Notamacropus eugenii: one gene and its partner. The protein of the gene in region 1 binds, or shares a complex with, the protein of each later gene. Links are inferred from orthologs where the notes say so. Each region holds a gene or a part of one and is shown on either strand. Other genes may lie near its edges.

Evidence for each region. Proteins that work in one complex are often made in the same cells at the same time.
Region 2: the proteins of CLSPN (region 1) and CHEK1 are in contact, whole or in part, in a crystal structure (PDB 7AKO), measured with the Homo sapiens proteins. The link is inferred for Notamacropus eugenii from reciprocal best matches to the Homo sapiens genes CLSPN and CHEK1. Residues at the interface, in NP_071394.2 of Homo sapiens: Glu938, Leu940, Leu941, Leu943, Cys944, Ser945, Gly946; in NP_001107593.1 of Homo sapiens: Lys53, Lys54, Cys57, Met61, Arg129, Thr153, Val154, Phe155, Arg156, Tyr157, Asn158, Arg160, Glu161, Arg162.

Annotation. Positions count from the first base shown.
Region 1 is NC_092876.1:83,924,794-83,935,547, forward strand, and holds the start of CLSPN (claspin), read left to right. Parts: upstream 1-6,421; 5' UTR 6,422-6,659; coding exon 6,660-6,683; intron 6,684-6,815; exon of another isoform or gene 6,816-6,903; intron 6,904-10,754.
Region 2 is NC_092876.1:172,601,025-172,611,821, forward strand, and holds the start of CHEK1 (serine/threonine-protein kinase Chk1), read left to right. Parts: upstream 1-5,574; 5' UTR 5,575-7,451; coding exon 7,452-7,920; intron 7,921-8,476; exon of another isoform or gene 8,477-8,673; intron 8,674-8,773; coding exon 8,774-8,963; intron 8,964-10,535; coding exon 10,536-10,759; intron 10,760-10,797. UniProt on the Homo sapiens protein: Serine/threonine-protein kinase which is required for checkpoint-mediated cell cycle arrest and activation of DNA repair in response to the presence of DNA damage or unreplicated DNA.

The DNA.
Region 1 (10,754 bases):
CAGGTACAGTTGCCTGACTTCCTCTAGTAGCATTCAACAACTCAGAAAGAAAAGCAGAAAAGTTTGAAGAAATCTCAATGAGAAAGCCAACTGAGCAAAGTCAATCTTTGAACATTTATGGATAAAACTGGACAGAGAACAGACAAGATGAGTAAATAAGTTCAAAACAAATTCACCATCAATGACAGTGAAGTTATGAACGTGGATGTAATGATAGTGGACATTATGAAAGATATTAAAAGTCTAGGAAGATTTTTTTCACAGCTAGAAAATGGGGAACACTGTTAATATAAAAAAAACTGCATTATACATATTATCATATTACTTTAAGATTTAATTAACTTCTCTGCAAAAGGACAACTGTCTGCATCTACTTCTAGTGGAAAATGTTCTCAATATATATCTTATGAATTGCTACTTATTTTTTATTTGGTAAATCAGTCTTCTATAAAAGCCTATTCCTTTTGCATCCTTTTAGCCTGTATTTAAGAAACCATGCTATAGTGCGTGTGGTAGTATATGCCTCTGATGCCTGCTACTAAGGAAGGTGAGATTAGTGGATCTTACTTTATCATTCTAAATCTATGAAAACACTATTTATACAGTATTATTTATAGTATTATTATTATTATATATAGTATGATTATATAGGGGATGGCAGTGGGGGGAGACTGAAAGCACCCAAGATTTCAGGAAGAAGAAAACTCATAGACTTTGAACATAAACAGATAAATCAACAGGAAAAATGGTGACAGCAGAAGGAAATATGGCCTCCAGATCTGGTAAATGAGTTTAGGCATCTATAAATAAATATTGCAAATTAAAGGAAAATGATCCAACACTTGATAAAACGGAGGACCCTGTCTATTCCTAAGTGGTCTAAAAGAAAAATAAGAATTATGAGAGAATTCATGTCCTGCACAGCAAAAATAATGAACAGAATAGAAAAATTTGAATCTGCAGTGACAAGACTCATCAAAGAAACAAAGAAGAGAATGATAGACTGCGACTGCAAAACTTAAGAGTGAAGGGCAACTTAGAAGAAAAGAAACAAAAAACAATAGCAGTTAAAAGAAAACATGCTCACTATGCAAGCAAAACATAATGAACTTAAAGACAGGCCACACAGACACAAGCTAAGGATTATAGGTCTTCTATAAGAACATAACAGAAATAATAGAAGAGAATAACTTAGAACTTCTAAACACATAAAATGAAATTCCAGTTGAAAAAATTCACAAATTGCTTTCAGAAAAACAAACAAACAAAACTTAACAATTCAACTCAGAAACAACAGAATCTTCAAATCATCAAGAAAAGGTCCTTCAAATACAAAGGAAAGGACATTCGAATAATGGAAGACTGTTCTATACCTACCAGAGAAAGGAGGAGGGATGTGTTCAGAGTCACCTATCCTGCAAATCTGAACTTAACCAGAGAGGACAAAAGACCTGGACATTCAATAATAAAGAAGAGTTAGAAATATTTTTAGAAAGAAAATCATAACTGAAGAGATTTGCCTCTCAAACACCCCAAAAAACATAAATGCAGGAGCGAATGAATGTTCTATTAAATGTAGAGACAGGAGTGAAGGCAGAAATTTGGTAGAGATAACAGCGAAGAGGCAGACTGGGGGTATTAAGGATAGAATTCAGCAACACTCTGTGTACAGGTGAGTTCTTCTTTTGTGGAACTATATTACAACACAGGAAGGTACATAAAAAGGTGGGAGAGGAGCAGGGAGATAGAGAAATAAGTGATGCAGTAGGGTCAAATCAAGGCCTACCAAAGAGGGGAACATGCTTGTGTGGTCTTAGAAAGAGAAGAACCTACAGAAGAGTGAGTGAGGAGTGGGGAAACACTGAAGGAAGAGGGGCAAAAGGAAGGAGGCCTTACTTTGGAAATGAGAAGGGGTTTTGCTGATGAACGCTCCTATGGGTTAAGAGAGAAGGCTGGGGAAGGCAGATGACTGGATGATACTTGGGGGATTTGGTGCTTAAAAGTCTACTTGTCCTAGGAGGGAGGAAGTTGGAATGCCTAGGGAAAAGTAGCATTTGGAGGAGTGGGAGAACATGGGGACACAAGGAGATTTCCAGGCAAATGTAGAAAAAATATCAACAAGAGAGGGTATAGATCAATGGTGACCCATCCAATTAGGGACAGGGTGGGTGAGGGGTCCTATCATGGGGCAATGTCCTCTCTGACAACTGAAATAAATAGCAATGTTCTGAGAGTATGGTACAATGGAAAAGGTAAATCCTTGGGGCAATTCCTATGAGGCAGTAGCAGAAAGCACCTACAAGGGAGATCCTGGAATGGATACTTTAGAAGCTTTGACTGCATGAAGAATACAGAGTAAAAAGAAAAAAAATAATTATAGGGGTCATGAATCAGAGAATGAGGGTCTAGAATAAACAGAAAGAGGGATAATGAAGAGAGTAAGAGAAACCCTTTTTGGAAAACGGTATAAAAAATGAAATTAGAAATCTAAGGAACAGAATTAACTGATTTGCAGGAGAGGAAGAAGAATCTATTTGACTGAGAGGAAAAAAAGGGAAAAGAAATATATAACCACATAATAGCAAGAGAGAAAAAGGAACTAATAAACAAAATCCTAAAGGGAAAGGGGTATCAAATGAAAAGAGGGGATCAGAGGTGTAGGGAAGAGAGCCAGTGGGAACAGGGCCACCTCAAAAAAAGATTAAAGTAATTGAAGGAACATAATACTGTGTTTATAGCAAAAGAGAGAACATGAAATGGAAAAGCTAATACTCGGAAGTGGTCAAATGAGAAAAAAAAATCTTTGTATTAAATTTCTCTGATAAGAGTTTGGTATCCTATAGATAGATAATCAATAAATACATATATATATAAAATAGCCATTTCCCAATAGATAAATGGTCAGAGGATATGAACAGTTTCCAAAAGAAGAACTGCAAAGTATTCACAACTCCATGAAAGAATGCTCCAAATCACTAGTAATAAAAAAAAAAATGCAAACCCAAACAAAACTGAAGTTTCACATCACACTTTATAAACCGGCAAAAATGATAAAAAATGGCAATCATCAAAGTTTGAGGGGTTGTTGGATGATTGGCATATTAATACATTGTTGGTGGAACTGTGAAATAGTACAACCATTTCAGAATTATGCAAATAAAGTGACCAAAATATCCTTTGAACTAGAGACTCCATAACTGAATTTATACCTCAAGGAAGCCACTGATAGGAAAAAAGTCCCCACATACTTCAAAATATTTATAGCAGCACTTTTTGTGATAGCTAAAAATTGGAAACAAAGTAGATGCCCATTAACTGGTAAACAATTAACCAAATTGTAGTGCACGAATGTAATGGAATATCACCATGCTATAAGAAATGATGCATGTGACAAAAAAGAGAAGTATGGAAAGATATATATGAACTGATATAGAGTGAATTAAGCAGAGGCAAGAAATCAACATACACAGTGACTACAACAATGCAAATGGAAAGAACAATGACTAAAAAAGTAAATGCAACAAAATTATAAAGATTAAGAAGGACTCAAAAGAAGAGATGACACTCCACACCTATCCTTTCATGGAGGTGGGAAGTGGACAGGTGTTACACATATTTTCAGACCTTTCTAATGTGTTTATCAGTTATACTGCCTTTTCTTCTATCTAAAAAAATACTTATCATATGCGATGGCTCTCTGGGAGCAGGAGGAGGCAGGGGAAAGATACATGGGAAATTGTGGTGATACAGAAATAGAAAACGTTAATAAAAACTAAAAAAAAAAAGAATTAAAGCTGGAAGGGACTTATGGAAACCATCTATTCCAACCTCTTCATTTTGTAGATGAATAAACTAAGACCCCCTTGTCACATATTTAGCAAACTGTAGTGTCAGATTTCAAACCCAAATCCTCTAACCCCAAATCTAGTTCTGCTTCTGATACAATAAGCTGCTAAATAAGTGTGTCCATTTATTTCTCATCACATCTCTTGGAAGTACTAGGACCAGAATCCAGGTCTCCTAATTCCTAGTCTGATGCTACCCCGTATATAATAAAAATATGTAAGGGAAGGAATAAGGCAGAATTTGAGCTTACCCTGAACGAAGATAAAGATTCTAAGATATGGAAATGAAGGAGTTCATTTCAGGTCGGGGGAATGGCTTGTGTCAGTGAAGAAAGGCAGGAGATGGATAATGAGTTCTTTCAGAAAAGGAAGTCTAAACAACGCATCTCAATGCTGGCTTGTTTTTGCCTTTATAATCTCAGTGCTTAGCACTGGAACATAATAGGTGCTTATTGTGCTTACTGACTTATGTCCGCTGAAATTATGAATAGAAAATGCATTTACAGAGTCACTGACTGACATAACTGCTAAAAATCCTACAGTGTATTTTAGGAGGATCAGTACACCACAGGGTGGCAGTGCTTCTCTAGGGATGAAAGAAAAAACAAACCCTTCACTACTTAGCTTTGCCAGGTTTCTGAGCAGAGATTCATAGTTTACCATTCTCATAAAAGTAGCTCCTCTTCCTGAATCACTGAGGTTGTTGGCAGCTTCCACACTTCAAATTCAGGGAGTCCTAGAGGAGTAGAGGCAGCTTCCATGTTTCTTATTAACCCTGAACAAAATCAAAGGATTTAGAACTGTAAGGTCATCTAGTTCAATCCTCACCTTTTAATTAATGTTTTTAAAAAATGTTTCATTAGTGGATTTTGTCTTTATGGTCATCTCTGGAAAAAGAAAAAAAACAACCACAAAACCCTCCCCTGCTCCAGATCAAACTCTCTCTTATGCCAAAAATTAACAATTAAAAAATATCCAAAATAATGATTGCATTTTATAAGAATGATAATACTATGTCCTCATAGATTTCCTCTCTCTTTCCCTTCCTCAATAATGCTAAGGAAGAAACGAAGACCTAGAGAGGAGAACAGTCTTTCCTAAAGTCAGACAGGTACACAGTAGCAGAGCTGGGATCTAAACCCTGATTCTAAATCTAAAAAGAAAGAGGCTCTCACACTTTTCCCATGTGATTTGTGAGGTGGGCCACTCCACACACCACATAAAAGGCACAGCTTTGGGTAATAGCAATGTGGACTCGAGGTAAAAAGGGATGACTTGACTATGTTCTTTCTATCCTTTGTGGCAGCTAGTGTGGGACTCAGAGTCAGGAAGACTCATCTTTCCCAGTTCAAATCTGGCCTAAGACACTTACTGTGTGACCGTGGGCAAGTCACTAGCTTCCTCATCTGTAAAATGAGCTGGAGAAGGAAATGGCAAACCACTCCAGTATCTCTGCCAAGAAAATGCCAAATGGGGTCACAAAGAGTCAGGTGTGACTGAATATGGACAATTTCTGTCCTCTGAAGACTAAAAAGTTAAAAGAGGAACAGGTCTAGGTTATTTAGGGGTCCTAGATCTAGGGAGATCCACAAGAACTAGCTTGTAGATGGAAGTCTTCACAAATCAGACTCAGAAAGCTTCCCAAGAGAGGGCTGGAGGTCATAAGGAGAGCCTTATGCCCCGGAAAACTGATTCAGTCCCCAAAGGGAGGGCCTTTCACCTTGGAAGGCTTCCCACAGAGAAGACTCCACAAAGTAGGCCTCAGACAGAGCTGGGAAAACCCATAATGTGGGTCTTAAAACTGGTGATCCCCAGGATTTGGGCGCTAGGCTAAGAAAGCCCCTCCTAGAGAGAGGCCCTTGTCCCTGCGTGCCCCACAAAATGGGCCCTATCCCTGGGGCACCCCATGAGGTGGGCCCTAAGCCAGGATGTCCCATGAGGTGGGTCCTACCCCCAGGGAGCCCCACGAGGTGGACCCTACCTCCGGGGCACCCCACGAGGTGGGCCCTAAGCCAGGGAGCCCCACGAAGTGGACCCTATCCCCGGGGCGCCCCACGAGGTGGGCCCTAAGCCAGGATGTCCCATGAGGTGGGTCCTACCCCCAGCGAGCCCCACGAGGTGGACCCTACCTCCGGGGCACGCCACGAGGTGGGCCCTAAGCCAGGGAGCCCCACGAGGTGGACCCTATCTTCGGGGCACCCCACGAGGTGGGCCCTAAGCCAGGGAGCCCCACGAGGTGGACCCTATCTCCGGGGCGCCCCACGAGGGGGGCCCTAAGCCAGGGTGCCCTCACAGAGGGGGCCTCAGCCCCAGCAGAGCCCCCACAGAAGCCGGGGCAGGGCAAAAACTATCTCAGGGCCCGCCGCCTGACGGGCTGCAGCCACCCAGGCGAACTTAGGAACGCGCAGTCCCAAGCTGGGGAAGAGTCAAAGGTCCCCACGCCTGACCACAGGGACCGGAGGACCCTAGGACCGCCTGCGGAGAGCGCCCCCCAGAGACTCGCCTGCAAAGGGCGGGGAGACAAGCGCGCGCCAAGCGCCTCCCGCTAAAGCAGAGCAGGCTTGGCCGCGCCAAAGGGGAGGGGGGATCTCCGTGACGTCCGCGTGAGGGCCGTGGGGATTGGTCGGAAGCGGCAGAGGCGGGGCCTCAGCCTGGACTGAGCGCGAAAGCTCGAACGGCTGTGGCGGGAGTTGAGTCTGCACAGAGGCTGAGGAAGTAGGGGCGGCGTCGGGCCCGGGGTCTGAGTGAACGGCGCTGGCGGCGGCAGCAGCGCTTCTAGTTCTTCCAGAGAGAAGCTCTCGTGTGCCGAAGGCCATGGCAGGCGAGGTGGCGGCTGAGGTGAGTGGGGGCACTGGGATACCTTTCACAGTCGGGGGAGGGGGTGGCGGTAATGTGGGGTGGGAACTACAAATCCCAGCATACCCCGCGGCTTCGGGGGACTACCGCTCCTGGCAGGAATTGACGGAAGCCGGTGGCGGGTGACAGGGGTTAGTTTCCCGATGGGTCCCTTAGGAATACGGGGATTAAAAGGTGCTCCGGCTTTGGGGTGCGAGAGAAGGTAAAGGGGGTTAAGTAGAGCGTGGATTCGGCGTCAGAGAGCCTAGGAAAGCCGGTTTTGATACGTCCTAGTCGTGTGAGCTTTAAGAGTCCCTTCTAATGATCGATCCCATAACATTTTATTTTGTTGGAAACAGCAGGGCTATGTAGGATCACGTGGTTCATAGATTTTAAAGCTGAATGGAGGCTTAGAGGTCATCTGGTCCGACCCTCCCCGGAGAAAATGAGGCATAAAGAGATTAAGTGATTAGTTAGGATAAACAGTACCAGGTCAAACCTGAACCTGGAAAATGGTCCTCCAGCTTCTATTGGAGCAGCCCAAGGCAGTCCGTTCTGGTTTTGGACAGCTTTAATGAAGAAATTTGGGGTTCCCCCCCTTTTACAGAGATCGAATCTGCCTCTTTCCAAACTCTTCTCATTTATTTTCTAGTTCTGGCTCCCCACCAAGCAAGACAAGGCTAATCCTTCTTCCACATGACAGCCTTCAAATATCCCAATTAAATTATCTTTTCTCTGAGCCAAAGCTTGTTACAAATATTATTTCAGTTGATACTCACAACTGGAAGATAGATGCTATTATTATCCATGTTTTACAGATGAGGAAACTGAGGCAGGCAGGTTAAGTGACTTGTCCAGGGTCGCATAGCTGTAAAGTGTTGGAGGCTGGATTGAATTTTAACTTAGGTCTTCCTGATTGGCCCTCTCTCCATTAGGTCATCTCAGTGGCAGTATTTCATTTTATTCTATCTACCTTGTTTCCAGTTCTTTGCGGTCACAAAAAAGTGTGGCTATATCAAAGAATCTGTAGGGTTGAGAAATTAGGCCTATAGTTTAGTAGTTGTTAGTGTCTTCTTGGTTAGTTCTGTTGAATCATTATGCCATCCACCATCTTTTCCAGTTTTTTAAGGAATCCTTTTATTTGAGATATCCTGAATATGTCCTCCAGATTATCTTTAAAATTGTGTAGCTTTCATTATTTATTTTGTCATGCAGGTACATTTTTTTTTAAAGAACTTCATTTTCCTGAGTGCCATTTACATTTCAGTGCCAGCACATCTGGAGTTCATATATAGTAGTTCCATTGTAATTGATTATGAGAATATATTTCTGTAAAAATGCTGGCAGATATGCTCCATTTTATTTATATATGTTTCCTTTCCAGTTTTGTAAAATACTGTTGGAATGATCTTTTTTATTTGAGTCTCACGTCAAGATTTCTGTAGACTCCTTTTCTCTAAGGCTTTCACAGTGTTTTCTGAGCTAAACTTCAGCTCTTCCTAAGAATTTGCAAATGCTCTTGTCTCACTTGGCTGCCATGTCTGCTTGACAAGGAGACTGAGTATTTCCTGGCTTTGTTTGTAAGTTTTCTCGCTTTTACTGTTTTGGTGATTGTTTTATATCAATTAAATTTCTCTAAGAATGGTGATAATCAGTTGATGTCTTTATTTTTGTCTATTATAAAAGTACTTTAGGGTCTGCAAACCACTACACATATTAACATGTTTGATCCTCACTAGAACCCTGTGAGATAGGTGCTATTACTGTCCCATTTTACAGATGTGGGAACTCCAGGCACAAAGTGATTTTCCCAGGGTCACACAGTAATAAGTGTCTAAGGCAGATATCAAACATGGGTTTCATATGTTATATTTCTATATATTATATAGTTCCATGTCCAGCAATCTGTACCACTAACTGTGTGTTTCATTTTTTCTTTCAGAGCTAAGAGCTTATATAAATACATTAGGTAGGAATTGTTGTAAATCCATCTAGTATTTACTCATCTTTATCCTTTTTCTAATTACTTTGACCTTTGCTCTAATTATTCCAAGATCTGACTGAATTCATACAGTTGATTCAGTTTTGTTAAGTGCCTACTATGTGACTGCACTGTGCTAGGTGCTACAGATGCAAAGACAAAGAGAAAACAGTTCCTGGTTTCAGGGACTTTACATTCTGTTGGAGAAAACATGTACATAAGCATATGCAAAATATATTAAACTATAAAAACAGAATTATGCTTAGTAACTAGTTGCTTCCAGAAAGTAGAGGGTGAGCTACATCTAATCAGCATCCTGAAAGAATTATGTGTTGGTTACCTAATAGGATCAGAATATCAGACTTCTAAGATTGTCTACTAGGGAACCTTCCATTGCCCACTAAATAGTAACTGTTTCTTTTACCCAGGGACCCTGAGGGTCTTCCCCTGCCAGTTTGGTTTTGTTTTTTTTTTTTTGGATTAAAGAGGCCATCCCTTGAAGCCTATTCATTGAAAGGGTGGATCTCACTCAAAGTGAGAAAGTGATAAGACAGCCTGAAAGGGCCAGGGTCTCACATTGCATCCTGGGCCATCTCCAGTCGGAGAATATCAGGCCACTGGACCTAAGAAGAAAGTCAGGTTGGTGACTTTTTACAGCCCTCCCTCACTCAAAGCAAAGTCAACTGCATGTCATTATCTTGATGTCATGGTCCTCTTCGAGAATGAAGGACAAACACAACGGCCAGAGGTGGGGAACCTGTGACCTCGAGGACACATGTGGCTCTCTAAGCCCTCACGTACAGCCCTTGAAGTTTGGATTCGGTCAAAGAGCCACACTTGAGGATCTAGAGGGCCACATGTGACCTGGAAGTTGTAGCTTCCCCTCCCCAGAGTTTAGTCTAATGTTGTCCTTTCCTCTTTTCAGAAAAATACCTATTATCAGTCTTTGGTATTTATGTTAGCCACTTTACCCCTCCCTTGTGAAAAGAAAAAAGCAAAAACATCCAATAAAGTGATCCCATCTGGTAACATCTACAATATTCTGTTCTAGTTGTTCCTTACGTTTCTGTCATGAGCTGCAGTTATATTTTAATAGTAGCTCTGTTGAATTGTCTTTGACTTTTTCGATGACTTTTTGTGATCTTTTAATTTATGTTATTGTAAATGTATGTATAGTATCTGTATATTTTTCTTAGTTTTCATTTTACTCTGTATCAGTTCATAAAGATTTTCCATGCTTCTAATTTAACCATTTTGTATTGAACAATACTATTCCATTATTTTCATATACCTTAGGTTTTTCAACCATTTCTAATAGATAGGTGCCCATTTTGTTTCTAGTTCCTTGCTGTGACAAAGAGTGCTGCTGTGAATATTTTGGTATATGTTGATTCTTTGTTTTCATCTTTGATTCCACTGGGGTATGTGCCAGGGATAAATGGTTCAAAGGGAGAGACATTTCAGTCCCTTTTCTTATATAACTCCAAATAGACAGCTAGGTGGGACAGTAGATACAATGCATGGCTTGCGAATCAGGAAGAACTTAGTTCAAATCTGGCCTCAGACACAAAGTGACCCTGGGACCTCTGCTCTGCCTGCCTCAGTTTTCTCAGCTATGAATTTGGAATAATAATAGTACTTACCTCCCAGGGTTGTTGGGAGGATCAAATGAGATGATATTTGTAAAGCATTTAGCATAGTGCCTGGCATGTGGGTAAGCATTATATAAATGCTATTAGTAATGAGGAGGAGGAGGAGAGGGAGGAAAATGATGCTGCTGATGATATCCAGAGTGGTTGGACCATTTCCCAGGTCTCCATCAGTGTGCCTGTCTTCCCACAGCCCCTCCAACACTATTTGTATCTTTTATCATCTTTGCCATCTTTGCCTCATAAGAGCTGAAATCTCAGAGTTGTTTGAATTGTATTTATTCTCATTATTAGTGAGAGGCTGTTTTCATGTGGTCAAAGTCTGTGATTTGTCATTTGAAAATTGTTCATGTTGTTTGACCTGTTAGGAAACTTGATGATAATTAGATGTTTGTGTCAGTTACTTCTATATGTTGGATTTCAGACCCTTTTTTAAAGTAATAT
Region 2 (10,797 bases), about 89 Mb from region 1:
CCTGAGACCCCCAGTTTTCACTGATAGTTCCTTCCCAATTCAATTTACTTAAGCATTTATTAAGCACCTACTATATGCCAGGCATTCTATTGTGAATAAAAACACAAAATGAAAGTTTTTGCCCTCAAAGAGCTTACATTCTATTGGGGAAAAACAACATATGCACAGATAAATTTTTTAAAATCCAAAGTAAAAAAAAAAGTAAATATAAAATAATATGGTGGTGGTAGTGGTGGTCCACTAATAACTGGAGGGATCAGGAAGGTTCTCCTCTAGGACTTTCAGAACCTTTGTAGTATTTTGTGCCTTTTACTTGGCAACACGGATAATTTTTTTTTTCACAGATACATTTTCACAGATCCCAAGTTTTTTTAAAAAGTTAACAAAAAGTAATATGGGACTGCGGGTAGTGGTGAGGGCACTAATAACTGGAGGCATGAGGAAAGTTCTCTTCAGGAGTCCCAGAACCATGGTAGCATTTTGTGCCAGTCACCTGATACTTAGCCATATGTTACCTTAGGGCAGGGGTGGGGAACCTGTGGCCTCCAAGTCACATGTGGTCTTTTAGGTACTTGCCTGAAGCCTTTTGACAGAGTCCAAGTTTCACAGCAAGAGGATTTGTTCTGTAATGTTTGGATTCAGTCCAAGGACCTAGAAGGTTACATGTGGCCACAGATTCCCCACCCCTGCCTTAGGGCATCATAGCATTTGACCTGGTGACCCTCTAGTTCAAATCCCTCATTTTGAAGATGAGTAAGTGAAGAGATTATTCAACCCTTTGTAGATACTTTAAAAATCTACTAATCTACTTTTTAGATACTTTAAAAATACTACTAATCTACTAAAAATCTAAAAATACTCTAAAAACCTTATCAATTAGACTTTTAGCCCATTAAGTGCAAAGGCCAGTCTTATAAGACTTAATATCTCCAATATGGAGCATGGTGTCTGAAATACAGTAAGCATTCATTGGTTACACGAAGACAGGAGATATTCTTCTCCCTTTTCCATCTTGACCCCTTAGTAAACCAGTTTAAGTCTACACTGTTGTCTTCTCTTGAACCCCTTGCCCTTTTTTCCTATCACCAATCTTGCCCTGCTCCATCTCAGCCCTGTAATGCTCCCACCATAAGCTATCTTCACTCTTATTCATGTGTTTCAAAATGAATCTGGAGAAAATCAGTTGATCAATAAATATTAAGCATCTATTACGTGTCAGGCACTGTTGCTTAAGCACTGGAAACCACAAAGCCATGGTGATAGCATCCAGTGGAGGGAGAGTTGGTGCGTGATATTTTGTTTGTAGGTGATTGTGCCCTCATTGAAGCCTCTGAGGCCAAAACACAACAAAGTATGGATTGTTTCTCTGCTGCTTGTAGTTCTCTGCCTAACAATTAACACCAAGAAAACAGATTCTCTACCAGCCAGTACTGCACCATCCATACGTGGAACCATCAGTTACAGCAAATGGAGAGATTTTGAATGCTGCAGATAAGTTCACTCACCTTGGCAGTGTACTTTCCAGGGATGTATACACAGATGATGAGGTTGATTCACACATCACCAGAGCTAGCTCAGTGTATGAGTGGCTCAGAAAGAAAGTGTGGGAGATCAGAGGTATTAGACTGCCTACCAAACTGAAGGACTACAGAGGCACTGTGCTGACCTCATTGTTGTAAGCCTGGGCAGTATACCAGCACCATGCCAGGAAACTGAATCACTTTAATTTGAATTGTCTTAGGAGGATTCTGAAGATCACTGAGGTTCTTTCTCAAGCTAAATTTCCAAGTATTCAAACTACTGCAAAGAGTGCAACTCCAATGGGCTGGCCATGTTGTCCAAATGTCAAACATATGGCTGCCTAAAAGATATTTTATAGAGATCTCACGTGGAGGTCATTTTCAAGATCTCTCTGAAGAACTCTGGAATCTATTGCATGACATGGGAGATGCTGGCACAACACCTCCCAGCATGGGGTGCCCATATAAAAGAAGGCACTGTGCTGTATGAGCAAAGCAGAGTTGCAATAGCTCAAAAGAAATGTGAAATGTGCAAATTTAGAGACATCTCCACTCCAAATGTGGATTCATGTGAACCATTTGTGTTAGACCTGTGGTAGAGCTTTTCAAGCTTATATTTATCTAATTGACCACAGTTGGATAACTTGTATCTTGACTCCAATAGACTGATGTCATTTTAGTCTTTGAGAATAAAGGACAAAAACCAATCAACCAATATTATATGTGTATGTGCGTACATTAACAAAGTTATGCTAATTAGGCCCTCCCTGCTTCAAGACAGTCCTTTTTGTACCTCCCTAATTAGCTCATTTTCCCACTCAGCACAGTGACTTTTCCAAACCTTTTGATCACTTTTCAAAACTCCCGTAACTCCCCTTTCCCTTATCCTTTCAACTGAAAACCTTGCCTCATACTTCATTGAAAAAAATTGTGGCCATTTCCTGAGAGCCTGCTTTTCCCTCTCAATTCACATCTAAGATGAACCTTCTCCTTGTCAAGGCAACCCCTATAAACATACATGTGGCCCTATTCTAACTCATCTTCTCCAGTATATTTCCCCCTCTATCATTCCTCTTTTCTCACATCTGTAATTTCTCTACTTCCCTAATGCCTACAAATATACCCATTTCTCTCCCATTCTCAAAAAATACTTGATCTATCCATCCCTCATAGTTACTACGCCAAATCTCTCCTCCCTTTTGTGGCTAAACTCCTTAAAAAAGTCATCTAAAATAAGTGCCTCCTCTTCCTTTCCATTCTTAACTCTCTATGGTCTGGCTTCTGATCTCATTATTCAATTGAAACTGTCTTTTCCAAACTTACCAATGAACTCATGCCACATCTAATGACCTTTTCTCAATTCTTAACCTTGACTTCTCCACAGCTTTTGACACTGTTGATTATCCCGTTCTTCACATTTCTTTCTCTGTAGGTTTTCCTGACTCTCTCTTGGTTCTCCTTTCTATTTGACTACCCATTTTCAGTCTCCTTTAGATTTTCATCCAGATCCTGCCTGCTATTCATAGGTGTCCCACAGGGTTCTGTCCTTGGCCCTCTTCTTTTCTCCCTTTCATTTGGTGGTCTTATCAGCTGTTGTGAAATTCAATTATCTCTATGCTAATGATTCTCAAATCTACTTATCTAGCCCTAAACTCTTTGCTTATCCCAAACTGGCATCTCTAAATGGATGTCCCATAGATCTGAAGTCATCTTCTTTGCCCCTCCAAACCTTCCCCTCTCCCTAACTTCCTTATTTTTGTTAAGAGTAACATCATCCAGTTACCACGGCTTCCAATCTTGCTGTCGTCTTTGATGCCCTCACTCTAATGCCCCTTATCCAATTTGTTGCCAAGTCCTGTCAACTTTACCTTTGCAAACTCTCTCATATTCACCTCCTTCTTGATGTCACTGCCACCATCTTAGTGATGGCCCTCATCAGCTCAAGTCTTACCTATTATAACAGCCCATGTTGTTTTTCCTTGCCACAAATTTCTCCTCACTCCAGGCCATCTACTACTCAGCTGCCAGTGCAGGTTGACCATGTCCTGCTCTTCCCCACCCCCATTACATGGCTTCATATCACTTCCAGGATCAAATAGCACACCTCATTGCCTTTTAAAGTCCCTTATCACCTGATCCTCCACCTCAACTTTCCAGTCTTCCAATAATCTTACATCTGCCATGTACTTTGCAATTCAGTGACCCTGGCCTCCTTATTGGTCCTCAAAAAAGACACTGAATTTCTTGCATTTCTACTAGCTGTTTCCTATGCCTAGGATTCTCTCTTTTCCTTTCTACCCCTTAGCTTCCCTATTCTCTAGCTTCCTTCATATCTCATCCAAAATCCTGTCTTTTACTGGAAGACTCTCCTGATTCCCCTGAATTCTAGTGCCTTTCCTCCACTGATTATCTCTAATTTGTTCTGTATATGCCTTGTTTGTACCTAATTGTTTACATGCTTTCTCCCCCTTTAAACTCAAGCTCCTCAAGAAGAGGGATTATCTTTTGCTTTTCTTTATATTCCCAGTGATTACCATAGTATTTGTCACACAGTAGTGCTTCTAGGCAGCTAGGTGACACATTGGATAGAGTGTGGGACCAAGAGTTCATATCTGGCCTCAGATAACTTGTTAGTTTTGTGATTCTGCAGTTCATTTAATCTCTGCCTCCATTTAGCAGGGTTATTGTAAGGATCGTATAAAGTATTTGTAAAGCATTTAGTACAGTGACTGGCGCATAATAGATGCTACATAAATGCTTATTCCCTTTCCTTCTCCTAATAAATGTTTATTGACTGAGACGGAAATTTAATCAACAAGTATTATTATGCATGACAATGTGTGAAATGCTGGGGATACAAAGAAAGGTGAAAGAAAATACCTTTAAGGAGTTCATGATCTAATTGGGGAGACAACAAACAATAACGTACAAACAAAATCTATACAGGATTAAGTTGGACATACAGAGGAAAGGCACTAATAATTAAAGAGGGCTGAGAAAAGCTTCTTATAGATTTTAGCTGAGATATAAATGAAGGCAGGGAAGCCAGAAGGAGGGAGAAAATTCCAGTCGTGGAATAGAAGTGAAAATACAGAGTCGAGGATGGAGTGTTGTTGGGTGTATGTGTGTATGTGTGTGTCTGTGTGTGTCTGTGTGTGTGCGTGTCACAGTGAAAAGGTCAGTGTCACTGGATCACACAGTATATGGAGGGGAGTAAAGTGTAAGAAGACTAAAGCTAAGAAGAGGTCAGGTTATGCAGGACTTTAAAAGCCAGAAAACTTCATATTTTATTCTGGAAGTAATAGGGAGCCAATGGAGTTTATTGAATAGGGAGATATTATCAGACTTATTTTTAGGAAGATAATGCAAATGTTATTTGTCCCCACTTTATAGGTGAGAAAATGGGCTCAGACAACTTGTGCTGGGGAAACAGTGTGAAGTAGTAAGAAAAGTACTTGCTTCTGGAGTCCAAAAGACTTTAATCTACTGGGCTGTGGAACTCCCATCCTGGGCCTGAGTTGAAATGATTACTATATAAGGACAAATTCAGCTAGCCTACTATATGTAGCAACCCCCCAGCCAGACCATATTCCACAGCTCATCAAAATCATCTTGCCATCTGCCCTGCTGCCAAAGAGGGCATGTCACCTCTTCACCCAACTCCCAAACATATACACTTTCTACTTTTTGCTCTTGAAAACAGTAACTCAATGCAATTAACAAGTTATCAGTTCTGAAACTACCCAGAGGAAAGTTCTTTCCCTGGTCACCACTTCTTTATATGTACAGTCACCCTGATTAAAATGTCAGTTCTGTGGGGGGCAAGGGTTGTCTTACTTTTGTATTCCCAGTACTTGGCATAGTATTCAAATAAATGTTTTAATAAATGCTTTTTCTTTTATTCAGTCTTGCCACTTGCTCCTTGGGTGACCTTTCAAACGCCATTTCATTGCTCCATTTCAGTTTCCTCCTCTATAAAATGAGGCAGTTGGGCTAATTAATTGTTACGGTCCTGTACATCTCTAACAATCTATCCTTTGGATATCTATTAGCCAAGAAACTATATTTATTCACGGATTGGTAACATACAAGTTTAACCAACATGTCTTTTCAAAGCTTGGATTCTGATTTTTAGCCACCAACTTGCAGGCAAAGCAGTCCAGGACTGCTAGATAGTAGAATTAGGAATAGTGCTTACAGACGGTGACAGACATAGGATTTAGGACTGGAAAGGATCTAGTTCAACCCCCTTCATTTTAGAGATGGAGAAATTTGAGACTAGTAAAAGTAAAGAGTTCCCTTCAAGCCACATAAGGATTAAAAACAACTATTCCTCTGACTCCAAATCTTTCATTCTTACCACTATGGTATCACTTAATATTTAAAGGTAGGCATGTTTATTGAACGAGAATAAGTGATGATATGCAGGGCATTCTGCTAGGCCCTGGGAAATACATAAAGTCCTTGTCTAGTTAGAGTAACTAGGGGCAGTGAGGGGGCAGAGTGGATAGGGTTGGGTCTGGAATCAGGAAAACCTGAGTTCAAATACAGCTTCAGCCACTTGTTAGTTGTGTGACCTCAGGCAAGTCACTTAACCTTATTTGCCTGTTTCCTCATCTGTAAAATGAGCTGGAGAAGGAAATGCCAAATCACTCCAGTATCTTTGCCAAGAAAATGCCAAATGCAGTCATGAAGAGTTGGATATGACTGAACAACCACAAAACAAGAATAACTACATTACACAGTATTACATGAAAGTGACAAAATAAAATGCTATCGAGATATCTGTAGAAGAAGGCGGTTACTGATCCATGCATAACAAAGGAGCTCAGGTTTCAGGAGAAAAGGGCATCTAAGTTGGGAAGAAAAGGTTGATTAAAGAATGGGGACAGCCATGATCCAGGAAAGCTGGATCTCCCTTGGAGATGCAACCTGCCAACTGTTTCTATCTATGGATATTACAGCTATAACTACGGAAGACCCAAAAAAGGCCACCAACATTTTTGGCATTGTCAAGTGGTTCAACAACAGAAAATGATTAACGATTTTATCTGTGGAAATTAAAGTTGAGGACTTGCCATGTGCTTGCCTATGTTCCTCTAGGGACCAGTGGACCTTTCCATCTGACTTGCAGCTGAAACTTCCTACTACATGGTGTCAGGGCCTGCCTCCCCTTTCTATTTGTATCCCCAGAGCTTCACAGTGCACACTGTAAGTGATTAATTAAATGCTCACTTTTTCCTTCCTCCCCGCTTCCCTCCCTTTTCTGCTTCTTTTTTCCTCCCTTCTTTTCTTTCTCTCCCTTCTTCCCTTCTCTGTTTTCTTTTTTCTTCCTTTCCTCCTTCCCTTGCTTCCTCGTTGGACGAAGGGTTGATTGCAGTTAAATTTGGGTTTGATGTCAGAAAAAACAATTAGTTATGGAGAATAGGCAGGGTTCACTCGGGAGGAGGAAAGCCACTAAAAGAAACTAACCCACCACCAGCACATCGTGGGATATTAGAAGCCCATGCCGGGCTCACTCTGTCCTCTGCCCATGTGACTGGGCTGAAGGCTGCCTCCCTTAGGCTCCACTGTTGTTGAGGTCCAAAGACATATTCGTGAATTGGATTTAAGCGGGGCAGTTGCCCAACATGCGGTGGGTGGCCTTGGCCTTTCTAAATTAAGGTCTCCTGGCTAGTTAAGTAGCAGAACTGAGACTAGTAAAATAGGATCATAAAGATTCTATGATTATCTTATTGGAGATAATCCTTCTTAGGGTGAGAAGGTGAATTAGAGGCTTTTAAGGTCTCCTCCAACCCAAAAGGCACTCATGCCCGAGTCCAGGTGATTATCCTTTTAGACCGAACTTCTTTGGAGGAAGAAGTGTCTTTTGAGACACTAAGCGGTTGACTTCTCCGGCTTCGCTGTCTACACCGATCAGATTCAGGAGAAATGGTAAAGTCTTTGCTTCCTTGCCTTTATAGACACGGCCCTGGATTTGGGATTTTCGGGGCCTCAGCGACCAACACGCTAGCTTCCCGATGCCCGGACCGCGCGGCTGAGGCTCCGCTAGGCTGGCTCGGGCTTCAGCGTGGGCGCCTGCCTGGCCTTGCGCCCGGACGGAGGAAACATTGTATCCCCTGCAGCGGACGTGCTCCTCCAGCGCTTCTGGACCCCCTCCCCCAGCCGCCCATTCCTGCTGTTTCCAACTCTACCTTTCCTGGGGCTCTGCAGAACGCAGTCTACTCCTGCGGTCACCCCCGCCCGGCCCGCCTCGGCCCGGCGCCCTCTCCGGCCGCGGGAGCGCGCACGGCCTCCTCGCTTTACGGCCACGGAGCGCGCACGTTTGCTGTCGTGAGGCGACTGGCGAATTTTGGCGGGAAAGGTTCCGCGTTTGGATTCCTCCGGCGGCGGCGGCTCGGTAAGCAGGTCCCGGGGGTCCTGGCCGGGCCTGGTTCCGTGAGGAGGGGGAGCGGTGGACCCGGGCTCTGGCTGCGAGGCGCGGGCACAGGGCGGCAGGGAGGGAGAGGGGCCTGCAGAGCGGCGCTCTGAGCCAGCTCCAGGGACAGGAGGCCGGACTCGTCAGGGCCGGACCAGAGGCTCCCCCCGACCCCCGTCCGGCGGGAGCGCCGCCCGAGGAGGAGGGGGAGAAGGAGGGGCAACCCCTCTTCCCTATCCTCCCCTCCCCCTGGCCCCGCCCCCGCCTCCCGGGACGGGGGGAGGGGGCCGCCTCGGCGTTCTCCCGGTGTGACCGAGCCGGAAGGCACCTTAGAATAGTCTACGCTCAGTCCTCGTCCTACGGGAGACGAAACCGAGGCTCCGAGAGGGGAGGGTCTCCCCTGAGGTCAGCCAGCCCCTGGGGATTAGAACCCGGATGCCCTGACTCTCCGTCCAGCCCCGCTCCTCGCTCCCCGCCTTCGCCCCTCCGTGGCCCTTTAAGGGCTCTGAGAGGGGCGGGGCTGCCGGGGTTTGTTTGTGCGGCCCGGGATTGCCGACCCCGCGGAAGTGGCGCTTCTGAGCGGACGCCCGAGAGGCTTGGAGGGTCTTGCCCAAAGTCAGAGTCAGAATGTGCCCCTGGAGGCTGGCACCGTACCCGCTAAGCCGCACCGGCATTCCGCGATGAGTAACTACGAGTCACAGGATGGATATATGTAAAGGGGTCGGAGGTTACGTGGTAAAGACCTTGTTAGTGTAAGGTGGGGGAGGGAGGCTAGTAGGAGGCTTAGTGAAGGCTTGCACTGACCTGGCCTCCGTGTCTGCTGCTTCTGCTTCAGGGAGGCCCTTCCTGGTGGAGCCATGGCTGTGCCCTTTGTGGAAGACTGGGATTTGGTGCAGACTTTGGGAGAAGGTGCTTATGGAGAGTGAGTATGAGCTCCCCTCTTGTTCTGCTGTCTTCTACACAGGTGCAGGACATAAGTTTGGGATACTATTGATAACACCGACTGGGACTTGTGTAGCATTTCCGTAAGTTAAGAGAGCTGACCTAAATTCATGCCGGTTTACAAATATACTTATCCTTTTTTGATCCTTGCAACTACTTGATGTGGTAGGTAGTGAAAACTGAAACTAAATAGGTTAAGTGACTTTTTGTAGAAATAGCAGAACCTACTATGATCTCAAGTCTTCTGGCTCTTGAGACTAGTGTTTTTTACATCACCTGTTTGCCATTCTTAGGTGCTTGCTACCTACCGGTAGATTTTAGACTAGTAGTTTAGATTGGAGGTGTCAGACTCATCTGGGCAACTCCTGAATGTGTCCCATACCGCAATAAAATGTAACAGGGAAATGTTTAACAAAATGAGTAAAAGTACAGTACAACATGGACGATGGTCATTTGTGGTTTCTAACTAAATATGTTGCCTGTAGGGATGCATTTCTATTCGATATCACTGATTTAGATGACTAAATTTAAGGTTTGGAGGAAGTCCAGGTATGTAATACTAATTTGGAATAAATTTAATTTTACTTCTTCCCTTCTCCAGTTATCACAAAAACATTTCCTACTGTAGAAACTTTCAGAAGTTTCCCTACATATAGTGTTGTGATGTTTTATTTAGCAGGACAGCCAGTATTGCACTATTCTGTTTTGTTTCTGGTTTCTGTTGTAGAATACTAAGGTTGAAAGAGACATTGTATCTCTTATCTCTTAAACCATCCAGTATAGCTTATGAAGTATGATGGTGATGAAACATTTTCCTTATGACAACACCACCGTTAAGTTTGGTACTATTTTGTTAATTAGGGGAGTCAAAGCCATTATTGTGGCAATCATTACTGACTAACCATCAGCAGTTCCAGGTCAATGGGTCAATCAAGCATCTACCTTGTGCCAGGTACTTATTCATAGTCAAGGATTTGGGGATTATGGGCCAAAAGAAAAGGGAATTCTCACAACTACAAGCAGACCGTAATGGTGGCTTCTTTTTTTTTTTTTTATGTCTTTTCCTTTTCTTACCCTTTCTTGTTTTAACATTCTACTTTCAAAGGACTGGAAGGGAACTTCAACCATCATGATTTTTCTTTCATTTAGCTTCCTTTCTTTTAAACCTGTAGAATGTATGACTTTATAATAAGGTCTAGGAATCCAGCTACTCAGTTTCAACAAGCTTTTGGTACCCATTGTGTGCCCAACATAGCTATCTCTGGACCATTTAGGTATCCTGTGCCACATATTCAGAGCCTGCTGGTGATAAGAATTACTTTTTTGGGGGTAAGAAATTAGTCTGGGTAAAGCAGTTTTTGAACTAATTTTTTTCAATCAGCAAGCATTTACCAACTGTCTGCTATATGCTAGTCACTGTGCTAGGTTTCTGTTTAATTTTGAAATTGCAAAAAAAAAACAAAAAAGAAGCCTATCGAAGAGAGTACCTTCATTTACTGATAATTAAAGAATTAGTATCACCAGTTAGTTAACTTGCACATATTAAATGCCTACCACATGCTAGGCACTGTGCCAAAGCAGTGAAATAAATAAATGATTTAAATGTCTAAAAAATTATGGAAAGATGAGTTAATTATTTTCCACTTATTTTATAGAGTTCAGCTTGCTGTGAATAGGCGAACAGAAGAGGCAGTTGCAGTGAAGATTGTAGACATGAAGCGTGCCATAGATTGCCCAGAAAACATTAAGAAAGAGATTTGCATCAATAAAATGTTAAACCATGAGAACATAGTGAAATTCTATGGTCACCGACGAGAAGGCAATATTCAGTATCTGTTTCTGGAATACTGCAGTGGGGGAGAACTCTTTGATCGAATAGGTATGGAAAATGGTGACAAATTTATGTTCTAAAGATGA